Linked DNA regions of Macaca fascicularis. The protein of the gene in region 1 purifies or fractionates together with the protein of each later gene. This does not show direct contact. Links are inferred from orthologs where the notes say so. Each region holds a gene or a part of one and is shown in the gene's direction. Other genes may lie near its edges.

What was found. The genes of interacting proteins can lie anywhere in the genome.
Region 2: the proteins of EIF4G1 (region 1) and EIF4A2 purify together in Homo sapiens (affinity purification with mass spectrometry; 6 studies listed by BioGRID and IntAct, with this or other methods). This does not show direct contact. The link is inferred for Macaca fascicularis from reciprocal best matches to the Homo sapiens genes EIF4G1 and EIF4A2.

What each region holds. Positions count from the first base shown.
Region 1 is NC_088376.1:96,234,813-96,240,145, forward strand, and holds the start of EIF4G1 (eukaryotic translation initiation factor 4 gamma 1), read left to right. Parts: upstream 1-2,109; 5' UTR 2,110-2,240; intron 2,241-3,053; exon of another isoform or gene 3,054-3,112; intron 3,113-3,328; 5' UTR 3,329-3,362; coding exon 3,363-3,422; intron 3,423-3,651; exon of another isoform or gene 3,652-3,711; coding exon 3,712-3,798; intron 3,799-4,292; coding exon 4,293-4,313; intron 4,314-4,889; coding exon 4,890-5,066; intron 5,067-5,279; coding exon 5,280-5,333.
Region 2 is NC_088376.1:11,705,760-11,710,828, reverse strand, and holds the end of EIF4A2 (eukaryotic initiation factor 4A-II), read left to right. Parts: intron 1-74; coding exon 75-184; intron 185-229; exon of another isoform or gene 230-356; intron 357-412; coding exon 413-556; intron 557-581; exon of another isoform or gene 582-759; intron 760-989; coding exon 990-1,127; intron 1,128-1,162; exon of another isoform or gene 1,163-1,294; intron 1,295-1,353; coding exon 1,354-1,443; intron 1,444-1,470; exon of another isoform or gene 1,471-1,609; intron 1,610-1,663; coding exon 1,664-1,743; intron 1,744-2,174; exon of another isoform or gene 2,175-2,285; intron 2,286-2,989; coding exon 2,990-3,134; 3' UTR 3,135-3,765; downstream 3,766-5,069. Other genes in the region: RFC4 (replication factor C subunit 4), read right to left, coding at 3,834-3,929, 4,007-4,120, 4,191-4,271. UniProt on the Homo sapiens protein: ATP-dependent RNA helicase which is a subunit of the eIF4F complex involved in cap recognition and is required for mRNA binding to ribosome.

The sequences.
Region 1 (5,333 bases):
TGCCTCAGCCTCCTGAGTAGCTGGGATTACAGGCATGTGCAACCATGCGCAGCTAATTTTTGTATTTTTAGTAGAGACGGGGTTTCTCCATGTTGGTCAGGTTGGTCTCAAATTCCTGACCTCAGGTGATCTGCCTGCCTTAGCCTCCCCAAATACTGGCATTACAGGTGTGAGCCACCGCCCCTGGCTGGCTGTCAGTTTTAGGATTACTTCTCTTCCGTCCTTATTCTTCCATCCTTACGCTTTTGCCCCTCCGTGGGAGTGTCTGCTCTTTTTATATTTTATTTATTTATTTATTTATTTGAAACAGAGTCTCACTCTGTCGCCCAGGCTGGAGTGCAGTCGTGATCTCAGGTCACTGCAGCCTCCAACTCCCAGGTTCAAGCAATTCTCCTGCCTTAGCCTCTCCACTAGCTGGGACTACAGGTGCTTGCCACCACATCAGGCTGATTTTTCTATTTAGTGTAGAGATGAGGTTTCACCATGTTGGCAAGGGTGGTCCCGAACTCCAGACTTCAGGTGATCTGCCCACCTTGGCCTCCCAAAGTGCTGAAATTACAGGCGTGAGCCAGCGTGCCTGGCCTTATTTTTTATCTTTATTTTTTGAGGCGGAGTCTCACTGTCATCCAGGCTGGAGTGCAGTGGCGCAATCTTGGTTCACTGCAACCTCCCTCTCCCGGGTTCAAGCAGTTCTCTGCCTCTGCCTCTGCCTCCCGAGTGGCTAGGACTACAGGCGTGTACCACCAGGCCCGGCTAATTTTTTGTATTTTAGTAGAGACGGGGGTTTCACCATGTTGGCCAGGATGGTCTAGATCTTCTGACCTTGTGATCCGCCCACCTCGGCCTCCCAAAGTGCTGGGATTACAGGCGTGAACCACCGCGCCCCGCCCACGATCTTTTTAAACTACAAATCTCATACTACTTGGCCTAGTTAGAATGTTTATATCCTTTTAATTTCCTTTGTTATAGCCCTTTCAATGACCTAATCTAAATTATTTTCAAAGCCTGCATAATTCGTATTGTATCACGATTTACTTAGGCAGGACTGAGTCTTTAATTTCTTTTCTTTTTTTTTTTTGATATGGAGTCTCACCCTGTCGCCAGGTTAGAGTGCAGTGGCACAATCTCGGCTCACTGCAACCTCCGCCTCCCGGGTTCAAGCAATTCTTTGCCTCTGCCTACTGAGTAGCTGGGACTACAGGCGCCCGCCACCAGGCCCGGCTAATTTTTTGTATTTTAGTAGAGACGGGGGATTCGCCATGTTGGCCAGGATGGTCTCGATCTCCTGACCCCGTGATCCGCCGGCCTCGGCTTCCCAAAGTGCTGGGATTGCAGGCGTGAGCCACCGCGGCCGGCCCATGATCTTTTTAAACCACAAATCTCATACTACTTGGCCTATTTAGAATGTTTCTATCCTTTTAATTTCCTTTGTTATAGCCCTTTCAATGGCCTAATCTAAATTCTTTTCAAAGCCTGCATAATTTGTATTGTATCACGATTTACTTAGGCAAGACCGAGTCTTTAATTTCTTTTCTTTTGTTTTTTGAGATGGAGTCTCGCCCTGTCGCCAGGTTAGGCTAGAGTGAGGTGGCACAATCTCCGCTCACTGCAACCTCTGCTTCCCGGGGTCAAGCAATTCTCCTGCCTCAGCCTCCCGAGTAGCTGGGACTACAGGCACACGCCACCACGCCCCGGTAATTTTTGTATTTTTAGTGGAGACGAGGGTTCACCATGTTGGCCAGGATGGTCTCGATCTCTTGACCTCGTGATCCGCCCACCTTGGCCTCCAAAAGTGCTGGGATTACAAGCGTGAGCCACTGCGCCCGCCTTTTTTTTTTTTTGCCAAGTCTTTAATTTCAGTTTCTCAGGCCCCAACCAGCACTTCGCCTTGTACTTAGCATGCACTCAATAAATGGTTGCTTAAAGTATGAATGAACTGAAGAATCGCGGAACAGACAGAGACCCAGAGGGGAGTCGGTCCGGGAGTCTCAAAGTTCGGGAGGGGACACGGGGGCGGGCTGTGGCTGTCATGTGACGGGGCGGGGCAAATCCCATGTGCTCGGCGACGCAGAGCGCCCGGCGCGGCTCCGCCCCCTGCGCCGGTCACGTGGGGGCGCCGGCTGCGCCTGCGGAGAAGCGGTGGCCGCCGAGCGGGATCTGTGCGGGGAGCCGGAAATGGTTGTGGACTACGTCTGTGCGGCTGCGTGGGGCTCGGCCGCGCGGACTGAAGGAGACTGAAGGTAAAGCCGCCATGTCCGGGCCCGACCCGGCCCCCCCACCCCCTCCCCCCGCATCCGCCGCCATCCGGGCCGGGACCGGCCACCCTGCGCCGCCGCCCCGGCGCCCTAGCCCCGCGGCCCGAGCCCGGGCCCCGGCCCGCCAGGGCCCCGATCCCCGGCCCACGTGTGCCTGGCCCGGCCCGGCCTGGCTGCTGGGTGGGGGTGGGGAGCGCAGGGCCGGACTATGCGGGCCCCGCGGGCTGGGAGGGCGCCGGGTTCGTCGCAGCGAAATGCCACCTCGGCCTGACCCGAGGAGGCCCGGCAGCCCACGGGCGCAGGCACCACGGCTCCCGGCCCGCCGCCCCCTCCCCCCTTCGCGGCCGGGCCGCCGGGAAGTGACACGTTGTTCTTTGGCACTGGCCCGCGCTGCGCAAGGAGGGCGCAGGGGAGGGAGGAGGTGGCGGCGGGCAGGGAGGAGCCCCCGGCCCCGCCCGCCCTCCGGGCCGACCCTCACTTGCCTGAAACCGGCTCCTCGACGGCCGCCGCCCGCCTGGCCTTTTAGGGCCTGACTCCCGCCCTTCCTGGCCTACACTCCTGGGCGGCGGCAGGCCTAGCTTCTGGCCCAGTGCGGGTTCCCTGGCGGCAGGCGTATCTTGTGTGCCCCTGGGCCAGGCCCGAACCCGGTGTGCCCGGGTGGGGGGTGGGGACACCACGGCCGAAGCAGCTAGCTCCGTTCGTGATCCGGGAGCCTGGTGCCAGCGAGACCTGGAATTTCCGGTCTGGTTGGTCTTGGGCCCCGCGGAGCCAGGTTGATACCCCTCACCTCCCAACCCCAGGCCCTCGGATGCCCAGAACCTGTAGGCCGCACCGTGGACTTATTCTTAATCGAGGGGGTGAGTGAGGGGACTGTTTGAGTAGACCAGGGGTTGGTTGGAAGTGATGTGGGATTGACAGCATGTTGGTGGGGACAGGCTCTATCTTTTCTGCTTCACCCTCTTGGCATCTCTGGGACTCCGTATGGGACCCAGCCTTGCATCAACCCTTCTACCGCCCCATTTGCCTTAAGCTTGGGTCCTTTCCTCTTCCTGAGCGCCACTCTTTCCCAACAGGTGCTGGGGGGACCCTGATGTGGCACCAAATGAAATGAACAAAGCTCCACAGTCCACAGGCCCCCCACCCGCCCCATCCCCCGGACTCCCACAGGTAATTAGGGAGGAATTAGCAGGGGTGGGGGTGGGGGAGACCAGGCAGTCGGGCAGGAACAGGTTCCAGCCTCTGGATTTTCCTACCCCCATCTGTGTCAGGGCAAAGTGCAGCCGCCTGCTGCCAAATTGAGACAGGGCCCCTGGGCTGTCCCCGGGGGCTGTCACGGGGAGGGGGTATGTGGATTGTTAAGGCTCTTGCCGCAGATCTGCTCCCCTTATTTCACCAGCTTGGGTTTCTGCCCCACCTGGGCTTCCCCTCTTGCTGAACTCTGGTCTCCCCTCTTCAGCCAGCGTTTCCCCCGGGGCAGACAGCGCCGGTGGTGTTCAGTACGCCACAAGCGACACAAATGAACACGCCTTCTCAGCCCCGCCAGGTGAGGGGCTGTGGGGAGGGGAGTAGGGGTTCTGGGTGGGAGCAGTGGAAAGCTTTGGCCAATTTAGGCCTAAGATGGAAACTGGAGGCCCCGTACCTGGCCTTAATCCTCTGTGTTCTTTCATGCGGCTCTGCGCCTTGCCCTGTTGATTACTTACGGTGGCTGGTCCCTTGGATAGTATATTGTCAATGAGGGTGGCATTACTGGGATCCTAGTGCATCTAAGAATTGGGGGCAGTGCTTTGGGCCCTGCTGCCAACTCTTGCTTTCCTATTTGCTCCTTTTACCGGAGGCTGCCATTGCTCTATTGCTCTCTCTGCTTTCTCTTTGGACTGTGGTGAGGTAAACACTTCAGCTGGTCCTTGCCTTTCTCTGTTCCGCAACTTCTTCCTTACTAAGTGGGAGGATTCTTGTCCTGTCCTATTGCCTTCATTCCCTCCCCCCGCCATCACCTTGGGGATAATTCTCTTCTTTCCTGTCCCCATGTGCTCTCAGGGAGGATTCAGGTCTCTGCAGGTAATACCCCTTTCCTAACCCTGGACGGTCTCCTGGTCTCATCCTTACCCTCCATCCTAGTCAGGGGCTAGACACAGGGAATGGGAGTCTTCAGGGTGGTGACTTGTTTGGTGTCCAGGTTCTCAGTTGGACGCCGAGTGATGCATGTTAGGGGCTACATCTTGAAGAAGGCGCATCTGGGGACTGGGAGGCTGTTGCATGTTATGGTTAGCTCCTCATTACATGCTGGTGGAGCAGTGCATGCTGGGGGTATGTTGCCCGAAAGGGCCTTACTTAGGCATGATGCATCTGGGTGTTAGGAAGCCTCTGCAGAGGGGTAGTTTGGTACAGGTGACATGCGTAAGCATGGCAGTGAGAGAGTAAATCTATACAGGATGCAAACTGTACATCTGAATTTGGAGGGTGTGTGTGTGTTCAAGAAGCTGCTTAACCATTTGGTCAAGTGGTCTTGGAAGGATTGGTCTCGATGTTCTGAAGCCCACAGTACTTTCCAGGCTATAGAGACATTGTGGAGTGGCTATGTTTTGTCCACTTCTTCCTCTTTACAATGCCAACTGCTTTCCTCCCTCCTGACAGCACTTCTACCCTAGCCGGGCCCAGCCCCCGAGCAGTGCAGCCTCCCGAGTGCAGAGCGCAGCCCCTGCCCGCCCTGGCCCAGCTGCCCATGTCTACCCTGCTGGATCCCAAGTAATGATGATCCCTTCCCAGATCTCCTACCCAGCCTCCCAGGGGGCCTACTACATCCCTGGACAGGTGAGGCTGGGGGCTTGGAGCCTAGAAGCCACAGACCCATATACTTCTCACTTCCCTCACCCTGACCCTCCAGTTCCATTCCTTTTCCAGAGGTGGGACTTACTTCTGATCATTGCCCAGAGTTGGCTTGTCTTGTCTTGACCTCCATTCTTTTTGGAGTCTGATATGGAACTCATAGCTCCCTCAACTCCTTCTCTCCCCCTCCCCAACCAGGGGCGTTCCACATATGTTGTCCCGACACAGCAGTACCCTGTGCAGCCAGGAGCC
Region 2 (5,069 bases), about 85 Mb from region 1:
TTACTGTTACAGTTGAAAAGTCATCATATTACTGAGTAGATCTAGAAGTGACAGTATGACTTTGTTTCTAACAGCTCCAAAATGGATCAAAATGTTTGTTTTGGATGAAGCAGATGAAATGTTGAGCCGTGGGTTTAAGGATCAAATCTATGAGATTTTCCAAAAACTAAACACAAGTATTCAGGTAAGCATTACTTCACTCCCCTCTTAAAGGTACAGATGGGGTTTAATGCAGGTACTGTTACAATACAACTGACGTGTTTTATTGTCGTTCCCCCTGCTTAAAGCACTTGATGCATAACTATCTCTGTCTAACTCCATTCTGTAGTGAGACAGAGACGCTTGGCTTCAAACATTTTCTCTTGGGTATTACTGTGTAAGTTGTTCTACAACATAATTTTCTCTTTTCAAGGTTGTGTTGCTTTCTGCCACAATGCCAACTGATGTGTTGGAAGTGACCAAAAAATTCATGAGAGATCCAATTCGAATTCTGGTGAAAAAGGAAGAATTGACCCTTGAAGGAATCAAACAGTTTTATATTAATGTTGAGAGAGAGGTAACTGATTGTTAGACATTATTTTACCTTCTTGTATAAGCACTGTGCTAAAATTGCAGACACTAGGACTATGTCTTGGTTTTTGCAATAATGCTAGCAGAGTACACACAAGAAGAAAAGTAACAGCACTAGATTGTAAAGACTGGGATGGACCTCTTTCTTAATGTCCAATGTCCTTTGTCTTAAGATTTGGTGCAATATCTCATTAGACCCCTACGTTTTGAGACTGGCTAAGAGGGGCCAATTTTGGTATTTTGGGTAGAGACAGGGTTTCACTATCTGGAAACTGGTTGGAACTCCTGGGCTCAAGTGTTGGGATCCCGAAGTGCTGGGATTATGGGCATAAGCACTGTGCCTGGCCCAGAATGTATTTTTAACTGAAGAAAGTTGGAAAAGCTAAATGACTGTTAACTTTCTCTTCTAAACATTATAGGAATGGAAGTTGGATACACTTTGTGACTTGTACGAGACACTGACCATTACGCAAGCTGTTATTTTTCTCAATACAAGGCGCAAGGTGGACTGGCTGACTGAGAAAATGCATGCCAGAGACTTCACAGTTTCTGCTCTGGTAAGAGGTGTTCTAAAATGTCTGGATTTCCACTAAAGCAGGATTCAGACTACAATATAGCTGCTAAGTGCTGTGTTGTCGTTCCCCCTGCTCAAAATAAAGTTGTTTCTTAACTATACCTGTCTGCTATATTCCTGTAGCAGCCAGGGACGCTTGGTCTCATACATGTTGATTAAAATTACTGACCTGACTGGTGATTCTTGAATTAAGGTTTATTAATTTGCAGCATGGTGACATGGACCAGAAGGAGAGAGATGTTATCATGAGGGAATTCCGGTCAGGGTCAAGTCGTGTTCTGATCACTACTGACTTGTTGGTAAGTCTCTTAATGCTTTTTAAAAATCTACCAAAAGTTAGCTTTTTGGGGGGAAGGTTTTTAAGTAACCTTTGCCAGCTTGGGCTATTTGGAAGAGTAAAAGGACCACACTCCACAGTGGGCTATACCACTTAGTATAGTTCGCTACTATTTTGTGGCCTACATGACAGGTACCATGTTTTTTGAATTAGAATTTTTAACATATGCCATTGTGTTTCAGGCTCGCGGGATTGATGTGCAACAAGTGTCTTTGGTTATAAATTATGATCTACCTACCAATCGTGAAAACTATATTCACAGGTGAGAAGCCAGCATCTTGGATGTATTGAAAAAAAATTCATACATTTTTCTACTGTGATTTGTATGAAAGGTAACATCAAATCAAGGAATAGATTCAGTCAAGTCAGTAGTGTTCAGTAAGATGATGTAATTAAATTTGTACTAGGGGAAGGCTGACGAGAACAAAGTGGGAAAACTTGTAAACATTGCTCAGATTGTGGGCATAGGTTTTTTTTTCCCCCGCAATTGTTGGTCTTAGCTTATGCTTGAGCTTTTAGTGATGTTCTTGTGTCCATGTGCTTTTTCTTGATTTTTTCCATAGTTGGGATTTTCTTGGTGTCGCCTGGTAGCAATTTGAGTGAACCCTGGTTTAGTTATAGTGGCTTTATCCCTAAATAAATTGAATCGTACTTTGTTATGTGATGTAAAAAAAGACTTTTTAAAAAATACAGGAGTCGATAGCAGCAGTTGATGACGAGATGGCACTCAGAAACGGCGTTGACGTAATTTAGGACGTGGAATCATAAGCGAAACAGCACACTGTTTGAATAAAGAGCGAGTCGGTATTTATATTTGTTTTTCTTTTGTCATGATTATTTATTTTAAGTTGCTCCAGCTGAGGCATCTTTCGTATTAGTATTTCTGTTAGGGAACTTTTCTTACTAGGTGGTTTGTATTGTCTGGTTTCTAACATGAAGGTAGCTGTTTGGCGGTTAAACACGTTTTGAGTAATTTGAGTTACAACGTGTGAAACTGAGCAAAAAAGCAGTGATAAGTTTGGGTTACCATACCAAATAACTTGTTTTCCCACTGGAAAAAAGTAAGTTTTAGAAAATAGTTAACCTTTGCAGCATTTGTTTACAGTTTACAGTTCCAGAAGTGCGTCGAAATGGATTACATAACTGCTCTTTTATTCCTGGTGTTTACATCTGTCCCAGGCTGACACCTGCTCTTGGCTGGCCCACTTTGGTATGGGCTTTAATTTCACTACCCCAAACACAATACTGTCATCTGCTTTATAATAATGCTCAAGATGCCTGATAAAAATCTCATTTTGCAGCCAGACAAGCCTTGAATCCTTTTGGCACTAACTGCAAAGGAAGATTTTTTTCTCTAGATATGCATTAGCAGCTAGTGCTCCAGTTAGAAGCACGAACTATAACCTTGATAAGTAAACAGCAGCTGATGGTTAACAAGTGGATCGTCATGTTCAGTAGTTCATAAATTATGTGAGAAGTAACATTCTGATTGTTTTTTTCTTACACAGAATTGGCAGAGGGGGTCGATTTGGGAGGAAAGGTGTGGCTATAAACTTTGTTACTGAAGAAGACAAGAGGATTCTTCGTGACATTGAGACTTTCTACAATACTACAGTGGAGGAGATGCCCATGAATGTGGCTGACCTTATTTAATTCCTGGGATGAGAGTTTTGGATGCAGTGCTCGCTGTTGCTGAATAGGCGATCACAACGTGCATTGTGCTTCTTTCTTTGGGAATATTTGAATCTTGTCTCAATGCTCATAACGGATCAGAAATACAGATTTTGATAGCAAAGCGACATTAGTCGTGAGCTCTTGTGAGGAAAGTCATTGGCTTTATCCTCTTTAGAGTTAGACTGTTGGGGTGGGTATAAAAGATGGGGTCTGTAAAATCTTTCTTTCTTAGAAATTTATTTCCTAGTTCTGTAGAAATGGTTGTATTAGATGTTCTCTATCATTTAATAATATACTTGTGGACTAAAAGATATAAGTGCTGTATAAAATCAGCCAATTATGTTAAACTAGCATATCTGCCTTTATTGTGTTTGTCATTAGCCTGAGTAGAAAGGCCTTTAAAATTTTTTTAGAAAGCATTTGAATGCATTTTGTTTGGTATTGTATTTATTCAATAAAGTATTTAATTAGTGCTAAGTGTGAACTGGACCCTGTTGCTAAGCCCCAGCAAGCAATCATCCTAGGTAGGGTTTAATCCCCAGTAAAATTGCCATATTGCACATGTCTTAATGAAGTTTGAATGTTAAATAAATTGTATATTCACTTTAAAGGTGCTTTTGGTCATTTTTATTACAACCCCCTTATTTACAAAACCCCACATCAAAATATATTCACTTTTTAACAATTCTGAGATAATTGCTGCATCACAGTTGCACAAAGGCTGATGAGTTGCAAATGTTCATCAGCACCATCTGCTAGGCATTTGTCAACTTCCTACAAGAAAAATTTAAGAAATTAGCATCCTTCAGGTAGTTAAATGTTTAATTGACATGTGCAAAGTACCTACTTACGGCAAGTTTTTCTGTAATAATGGACTTCTGTTTATCAGATAAATTATTCTCTACAACCACATCATGGAGTTGACTGACGAACTGAGTTGCTGCATGACCCTCATCTATTAAGTCCTATTAAAAAAAAAACTTTTGGTATGATCATTTAATATTCCTTTCCCCAAAGTTAGTAAGCTGACTTTACCTTGACCACAGCTTCTAGTTTGTCAAAAGAGCCACTCTGACAGGCAGCAAATACTCCATCAATTTTCTCAGCTGGTATTACCTAGGTAATTGAACGTTCAGTATTAAAGATGTTTCTAGGTGAGACTAACACATACAGTCCCCCCAGTCCTTTCTGTTCCACAGCTAAGTTCCATACTTAGCTAATGTTGTGATAACCCTGTAAAGTTGGGAAGGCTTTGGGAGAACAGCCAGAGTAACTCCAGTCACCACTGAAGTAACCAAGGTGCTAACAGTTGTGCTTTTAAAGCCCAAGTTTGGACACACATGGGTTATAGCTTGTTCTGGTCAGTGGATGAAGACTAGTGGCCAAGATCAGCCAAAGAGACTGATTTCTTTAAAGGGGAAGTGCCTTTTCTCTAAAAATCCATGTAAATATGCCACTAATGAGATTGGTTTAAAAAGTCCACAATATCCAGAAAATTTAAGATGATTAGTGGTACCAGTCTTGTCATATGGAAGGCCTACGTTTTTAAGTAGTAGTGGTTCTGAGGTGAGTTTTGACATGGGAGTATCCAAAGACAGGTGGGGTACTCCATTCTCTTTAATGATTACTGCAAGTTGGATATGCCTTTTGTTTATATACAACTGGCAAAATAGTTTTCATGTATAAGAACATCTGCTAAAATTGATGTAACTGCCAAAGGCATCTCTTAAAAAAATCTAAAAACTGAAGGCTGGGCACTGTGGCTCCCACCTGTAATCCCAGCACTTTGGAAGGCTAAGGGGGGCAGATCACCTGAGGTCAGGAATTCAAGACCAGCCTGGCCAACCAACATCGTGAAACCCCATCTCTATTAAAAATACAAAAATTAGCTGGGCATGGTGGCAGGTGCCTGTA